Macaca mulatta: one gene and its partner. The protein of the gene in region 1 purifies or fractionates together with the protein of each later gene. This does not show direct contact. Links are inferred from orthologs where the notes say so. Each region holds a gene or a part of one and is shown in the gene's direction. Other genes may lie near its edges.

What was found.
Region 2: the proteins of SKP1 (region 1) and CUL7 purify together in Homo sapiens (affinity purification with mass spectrometry; 8 studies listed by BioGRID and IntAct, with this or other methods). This does not show direct contact. The link is inferred for Macaca mulatta from reciprocal best matches to the Homo sapiens genes SKP1 and CUL7.

What each region holds. Positions count from the first base shown.
Region 1 is NC_133411.1:143,076,312-143,080,058, reverse strand, and holds the start of SKP1 (S-phase kinase-associated protein 1), read left to right. Parts: upstream 1-1,136; 5' UTR 1,137-1,236; exon of another isoform or gene 1,237-1,405; intron 1,406-3,747. UniProt on the Homo sapiens protein: Essential component of the SCF (SKP1-CUL1-F-box protein) ubiquitin ligase complex, which mediates the ubiquitination of proteins involved in cell cycle progression, signal transduction and transcription.
Region 2 is NC_133409.1:139,074,341-139,078,087, forward strand, and holds the start of CUL7 (cullin-7), read left to right. Parts: upstream 1-1,347; 5' UTR 1,348-1,498; coding exon 1,499-1,646; exon of another isoform or gene 1,647-1,735; intron 1,736-1,999; exon of another isoform or gene 2,000-2,095; intron 2,096-2,580; coding exon 2,581-3,261; intron 3,262-3,606; coding exon 3,607-3,747. Other genes in the region: MRPL2 (large ribosomal subunit protein uL2m), read left to right, coding at 916-1,128. UniProt on the Homo sapiens protein: Core component of the 3M and Cul7-RING(FBXW8) complexes, which mediate the ubiquitination and subsequent proteasomal degradation of target proteins. Core component of the 3M complex, a complex required to regulate microtubule dynamics and genome integrity.

The sequences.
Region 1 (3,747 bases):
CCGGTTTCTTCAGGGGGCCCTGTGTGGAAGTATCTTTTGTCTTCCTGTGTCAGGGATACCATCACGTGCCTATTGGCTAGACGAGCCCGGCGCCCAGTCTCCTAGGACAGGGAGAATAACGTTCCCGAGCAGAGCGGGGTGGGGCTTTCAGACTACTCCCGTTCCTTTACTGCAGGCTTCATTCCATCGACCTCATCACAGCCTTCCTGGGAGCACCCCAGACAAGAGTTCTGTCCAGGCCGGGCCCTGGCTGCCTGGTTCACTGCCGAATCCCCAGCACCACGCCTCGCATGTCGGGCTCAGAGCATGTTTAGTGAAGGAATGGGTACCTATTGCTAGATGGAAGCCATCTCTCTAGATTTGGGGTTTCCCTACGACGATGGCTATTTTTGGCACGGAAGCCTCTTTAGAAGTCAATAGTAGGAAATAAGGGCTAACGGCACCTAACTGTGGAGTAATGTTCAAATCCTGGCTCTGCCACTTAACCGTTCCGAACCTGTTCCCTCACTGCAGAGGCGAAAAGGCTAACACTATTTCACCTCGGAGGGTTACTGTGGAGAATGGAGGCTGGACAAGCTGTATCAGTTCAGTAGTAAAACACACACACACAAGCGCCCCCCCATCCCCACCCCAGGAATGAACACACACACACCCGCGCGCGCACACACATACACCTCAGGAATGAACACACGCGCGTACACACACACGCAGCCCCTCCCAGGAATGAACACACACACACACGCGCGCGCGCCCCGTTCTGTTGTTCCCAGGAACACACACATAGGCGCACACACGCCCCGTTTTGTTTTTTCCAGGCCGTTTAGCTGGGGTATTTTACTCGGCTTAGGGCGCCCCTGCCTGAAAGACCTTTCTAGGCCAGTCAGGGTTCGGCACCCAGTTGATGAGAGAGCGCGGCGCTTTCAGAGCTAGGGAAAGGCGAAAGCTCTCCCGTTCCCCAACCCCCCGGCCAGCCGCCCCGGCAGCTCCTCGTCGCCTCCCGGCCTGGGCCCGCCCCGCCGTCTTCGGCCTGCCGTCAGGCGATCTCGGCGGCCAGCCCAGCCGCTGTGTGACGCCGCGCGCCCCGGGGTCCTCGGCGCCTGCGCCCTCTCCTATAAAGCAGACGCCGCGCCGCGCCGAGAGGCTGTAGTGGCTTCGTCCTCCGCTTTTCTGTTCCTCCGCTGACGTCTCCTAGCTCTCGTCAGCCTCCCGCCGGCAGTCTCCTTAACACCGAACACCGTGAGTAGCCGCCCACTGAGCTGGAAAGGGTCGTGGCTCCCGGATTGCATGCAGGCTGGCCTCACTGCTGCGGTTTGGGCCTGCCCGCGGCGGGCGGTGACTGGGCCTGGCCTTCTTTCGGGCCCGGTGGATCGTGTTGTCGACCCCGTTCTTCGGGAGACACCATCAGGTCTCGTCCACCCTCTCCGCCCCCGATTCAGCGAGGCCTGCTCTGGCCGCGCGTCCTCACAGCGCTCCATAAGTGTGAGCCGAACCCCGGGCTGGGCTTTCTCTGCACCGGCCGAGCGTCAGCCGGCGCAGGCTCGGCTGCAAGGCCCAGGCTATGGCCGGGGGCCTCTCTTGGCCTTAAGCCTGCTGTCCCGGGGACTAGGGCGGGGGTGGCGGCGGGGTTGTGAATGGGGGTCCCTTGGCTGTCGTGAGCATGGGCGTGTGTCGGTGTCTGGCTTTTGTTGTGGTCGGGAGGGAGAGCTGCGGTGGTGGTCTGAGGCCGCCCGGTTCTTGGCTGCCATCCTTTCTCCCCCGTGTCTGGCGTCACTAGCTACCCGTCGGTCCTGGCTAACTGTGTGCGGGCGCCGAGTTTCTGCACATAGCCGCCTGTTCCTTGTAAATATTTCTTCGCGTTGTTTTGCTATGACTTGGAGTCGTTGAAATAACTATTGTGATAGCAGATACCATCTTCAGAGTGGTGTGACTTGTAAGAGCTGTGTATAACTTAACTCGAAGTGTCTGGCTTTTAAAGAAATAGGATGTCCAGCTGCTTTGGTTCACTTTTAGTGGGAACTTCACGTTTGGGTTTTAGGAACATGCATTTTTCCATTAGAGCGTCACAATAGAATGTATCTGTGTCATAGAACAATAGTCTCCTCCACTGTGCAGTCTAAAAAGCAGTGGCAGAATTTCGGGTCACTTAAAACGCAGGGGTTTTTTTCCCTTTATGATGTGATAGAACCCACTTTATGCTGGCCATGGAGAATTATTTACAAGTGCAGGAGCCTTTAGGCCTCTTTCTTTAGAATGGAATTGTTTTGAAAACATTTCAAATCAAAATTTCATCCATTATTACTTAAAAATTTTGCACTTTATTCTACTGTAACACTAAAACTTATCTTTTAGTTTAGTATTACCAAGTGCATCGAATTACAGATTTAACCGATTACCTACCTGCTATTTAGTAAGATCTCAACTCCCTTAAGAGTAACCCAATCCACGAATTTGACTATGACTAAGCACTTGAGTTATTTGAAAGAAATATGAAACGGTCGTCTTGCTTTTAGAGTAATTTTATCAACTGCATTGTTAGACTTGTGATTCTGCACTGTTCATTTCAGTACTATCTGATATAAAAATTACATGTTTAAATGTTTTATAATTAAAAATTGGACTCACGTTAAAATATTTTCTTTTGGAGATACCTTTTATTGTTGTCTTGTCACAGGAAGGGTCCTCTACTCTGGGTCCTTCTTCATTGAGCAGGGACAACGGCATTATTGGCAAGCGCTAAGCAACATGGAGAAGCAGACATGTTTGTGAATTGCAAAGTGAAATCTGATTCTCTCCAACCATGGATGAGTGAGAGTAGGATATTTCAGTGGCTGGTTTTAAAACACGCTTTACTTTTTTGCTTCCTTTGCCTAAGAACCTGTTTGCTTTGGGGTTGCGGACAATTGTCTCAGAGAAGCTGAATGAATATTTTAACCGATGTAATGGGTCATAAGTCTTTGAACATAAAATGGGTGTGATGCATGTTTTAAATGCCAAATGATACACTTTTGTGAAAATATATGCGATTTTTAATACAACACACCTAGAAAACTTCAGAGGTACCATAAGTTAATAGTGACATCATTGGATTATGAATACTTGAGAAGCATGGGCCTTTTAAAAGTTGTATGTGAATTTTAAGAGGCCTTGAATTAATCTGTACCAGGTATTGCTACTCTTTTTGTTGTTGTTTTTCTTTTATGTATGTTTTCTTTTTTAAAAAAAGAATTTGAAGATGGTAAGAAATTGTTGGACTTTTAATTTTAAATTCCTTTTTTTTTTTTTTTGCCAGAACTCAAGTCCTTTGGAATTAATTGCTTAACTTTTTTTTTTGACACGGAGTCTTGCTCTGCCACCCAGGCTGGAGTACAGCGGCGCGGTCTCGGCTCACTGTAAGCTCTGCTTCCTGGGTTCATGCCATTCTCCTGCCTCAGCCTCCCAAGTAGCTGGGACTACAGGCGCCCGCCACCACGCCCGGCTAATTTTTTGTATTTTTGGTAGAGACGGGGTTTCACCATGTTAGCCAGGATGGTCTCGATCTCCTGACCTCGTGATCCACCTGCCTCGGCCTCCCAAAGTGCTGGGATTATAGGCGTGAGCCACCACGCCTGGCCTAATTGCCTAACTTTTTATGTAAGATTATCTTTTTCCTAGTGACTCATAATTACTCTGAGTTAATAAATGCATTTTCAGAGCAAGTAATAGGTTATTATTATGGAGCTCTTGACAAGAGATCTCAAAGTTGGTCAG
Region 2 (3,747 bases), on another chromosome or scaffold:
TTTGTCGGATTGGCAGCATAAGTAATTTTTTTTTTTTCGAGACAGAGTCTTGCTCTGTCGCCCAGGCTGGAGTGCAGTGGCACGATCTTGGCTTACTGCAACCTCCACCTCCCAGGTTCAAGCAGTTCTCCTGCCTCAGCCTCCTGAGTAGCTGGGATTGCAGGCATGCACCACCACAGCTGGCTAATTTTTGTGTTTTAGTAGAGATGGGGTTTCACCACGTTGGCCAGGCTGGTCTCGAACTCCTTACCTCGTAATCCGCCTGCCTTGGCCTCCCAAAGTGCTGAGATTACAGGAGTGAGCCACTGTGCCCGACCCTAATTTTTTTTGAGACAGGGTCTCTATTGCTTGAGTGCAGTGGCACAGTCAGCTCACTGCAGCCTCAAACTCCTGGGTTCAAGCAATTCTGCCTCAGCCCCCCAAGTAGCTGGGACTACAGGCGCACGCCACTATACCAGGCTAATTTTCGTATTTTTGTAGAGGCAAGGTATCACCATGTTGGCCAGGCTGGTCTCAAACTCCTGAGCTCAAGCGATCTGCCTGCCTAGGCTTCCGAAGTGCTGGAATTACAGGTGTGACCCACTGCACCTGGCCCTGGCTAATATTTTTTATTTTTGTAGAGATGGGGTCTCATTATGTTGCCCAGGCTGGTCTCGAACTTCTGAGCTCAAGTGATCCTCCAGCCCCGGCCTCCCAAAGTGCTGGGATTACCGGCCTGAGTCCTTGCGCCCAGCTCTTTGTTTTCAACTACCTAGTTCCTACTGTAGGACCTTCACTTAGCTTCAACCATCTTGTGCTTTTCCTTTTTCCTCTCTCCTCTCCTTGAGTCTAAGAAGCCCCCAAGGGTTTTGCTGTCAACACTGTCAAGCGCTTTCCCCCACATTGTATAGAATCTCCATCTGTTTTCTCTGTCAGGTGCTGGAAACGTGCATAGCAACAGTAGGCCGAGTATCCAACGTTGATCATAACAAACGGGTCATTGGCAAGGCAGGTCGCAACCGCTGGCTGGGCAAGAGGCCTAACAGTGGGCGATGGCACCGCAAGGGAGGCTGGGCTGGCCGAAAGATTCGGCCACTACCCCCTATGAAGAGTTACGTGAAGCTGCCTTCTGCTGCTGCCCAAAGCTGATATCCCTGTACTCTAATAAAATGCCTCCCCCTCCTGTAATCTGTTACTGGTTTTTTGCGGGAGGGGATGGTACAGACTGAACGTGGGGAAAAGAAGTAAAAAGTGTGGGAGGAAAAGAAAGTACAGGACACTGGGTCTGTCCCCACCCCAATTCCCTTACAGGTAATGGAGCCGGGGGTGGAAATAAATGACGTCCAAGGCCTTTTCCAGTTGTGACTGGGAAACAGGGTGGGCACTTCCGCAGGAGGGAGGACAAAAGGAAGAGGAAAGGGCGGCGCAGAGGAGGAGGTGCTGCGTCGCCAAGGTGGCATCCGCGGCTCCTCCCCGGCCCTTTCCCAGGGCCCCTAGCCTTCCGCTGGGTCCGGCGGAAATGAGCCGTGGCTTTTGGCTGGCGGAGACGCTGGCAGGGACCAGGCTCCACCCTGCCCCAGTGGCTGCCGACCCAGGCGGCTACCGCTCTGTTCCGCAGAGGCACGCCCCTTCCTGTCTCTCCGTCTCGACCCCCTCGCGGGGCCCAGGTGGGGCCCGAGTCGCCGCCAGCATCTGTGCCGCGTCCCTTGCTCTGTGAAGGACAGGCCTCGCGCCAGGACCCCGGTGGACTTCTGAGGTGGCCAGAGCCCCGCCGCGGCCCCTTGCTCCTCTCCTGCCCACTTGCCCATCGAGCCTTGCGCTCACCCAACCTCGGTTCCCCATCCTACTGGGCCTCGGGGTTCTAGTTTATGGGGCCTAATCCCCCCTCCCCCACTTTACCGCGCGCCCCTGGCTTCTCGGGTCTCCAACCTCGGTCCCCCAAGCCTCGCGCCCCTCACCTACCTTGTCTGTGCACCCTGCCCTGGGTCTCGCGGCGCCCCCACCAGCCCTTTTGTTCCAGTTGCTCCAGTCGCTCCAGTCAGAGGCGCCTCCAACCCACCAGTGCCTCCTCCCAGTCCATCGCGCCTTGCCCTCCCACTCCACCACCAGTTCTCAGGTCTCTTAACTCTGCGATCTCGGGACTCTTAACTTGGGTCTCACACTCCCATGCTCCAATCCTTAGAGACAGCACCCCTTTCCACACACACTCAGGATCTCCCTCCCAAACATACCCCTCTGGGCTTCACATATCCCCAGGGTAGCTGCCTGTTTCAAGGCCTTGGGATTCACTTGTAACTCCAAGGCTGCCCTGCCTGCCCCCACTAGTCTGCCCACTGTTCCAAACCAACCCACTCCAGGCCTCAGGGTCTTGGGGACCTTCCTTTTAGCCCCCAAATTTTGTGTTATTTCACAACAAAACACCCCAGTGTTCTCTGCTTAGGCCTGCCCCGACTCAGCATGCAGCATGCAACTCCTGGGCCTGGCTTTACCCCACCCCGCCTGACAGCTGTTGCCATTTGCTTCCCCACCTCCTGGATGTCTTTGATTTTCTGACCTCTCCTTACTCTAGCTTGTCTGTTCTCTTTTCCTTGTGTGCTCCAGGTGCCAGGATGGTGGGGGAACTCCGCTACAGGGAATTCAGGGTGCCCCTGGGGCCTGGCTTACATGCCTATCCTGATGAGCTGATCCGCCAGCGAGTGGGCCATGATGGGCATCCTGAGTACCAGATCCGTTGGCTCATCCTGCGGCGTGGCGATGAGGGTGACGGGGGCTCTGGCCAAGTGGACTGCAAGGCTGAGCACATCCTGCTGTGGATGTCCAAGGATGAGATCTATGCCAACTGCCACAAGATGCTGGGCGAGGATGGCCAGGTCATCGGGCCCTCCCAGGAGTCTTCAGGGGAGGTTGGGGCCCTGGACAAATCTGTGCTGGAGGAGATGGAAACCGATGTGAAGTCCCTCATTCAGAGAGCCCTTCGGCAGCTGGAGGAGTGTGTGGGCACCATCCCTCCTGCTCCTCTACTTCACACTGTCCACGTGCTCAGCGCCTATGCCAGCATCGAGCCCCTCACTGGGGTATTCAAGGACCCAAGAGTCCTGGACTTGCTCATGCACATGTTGAGTAGTCCCGATTATCAGATTCGCTGGAGCGCAGGCCGGATGATACAAGCCCTGTCCTCCCATGATGCTGGTGAGGGGCAGTGTGGGGAGGAAGGGAAAGCAGAAGGGCTGGGTCGGCTCAGGGACTCACAGGACACTGTGGCAGGAGCCTCTGATCTCATCAGTACGTAAATGATTCTGTTGCCCTTCTCTTAGAGTTGGAAGAAAAGGAGGTGGGAATGGGAGTGAGGGTGGGGGTTATCTGCCAAAAGAGGAAAGACTATCTTCAATAACCTCATATTAATTAGTTGCTTTTTATGCAAAGGAAGAATTTACAGTTTAGACTATTGTAGATGGTGTTTATGTGCGTGTGTGTATGTATATAAGTTGTCAAATTTTAGCTTTTGAAGCAAATCAGTTCTTTCCCATTGTGTGATGGCAAAAGGATTGGATTGAAAGAATAGAGGGTCTAAGATTTCTAGGAAGGGTGAGATTAGGGAGAAGTTACTAATTGGGATATGGGTTACAGGGACCCGGACTCAAATCCTTCTGTCACTGAGCCAACAAGAAGCCATTGAGAAACACCTGGATTTTGACAGCCGCTGTGCTCTGCTAGCACTGTTTGCACAGGCCACGCTCTCTGAACATCCCATGTCTTTCGAGGGCATTC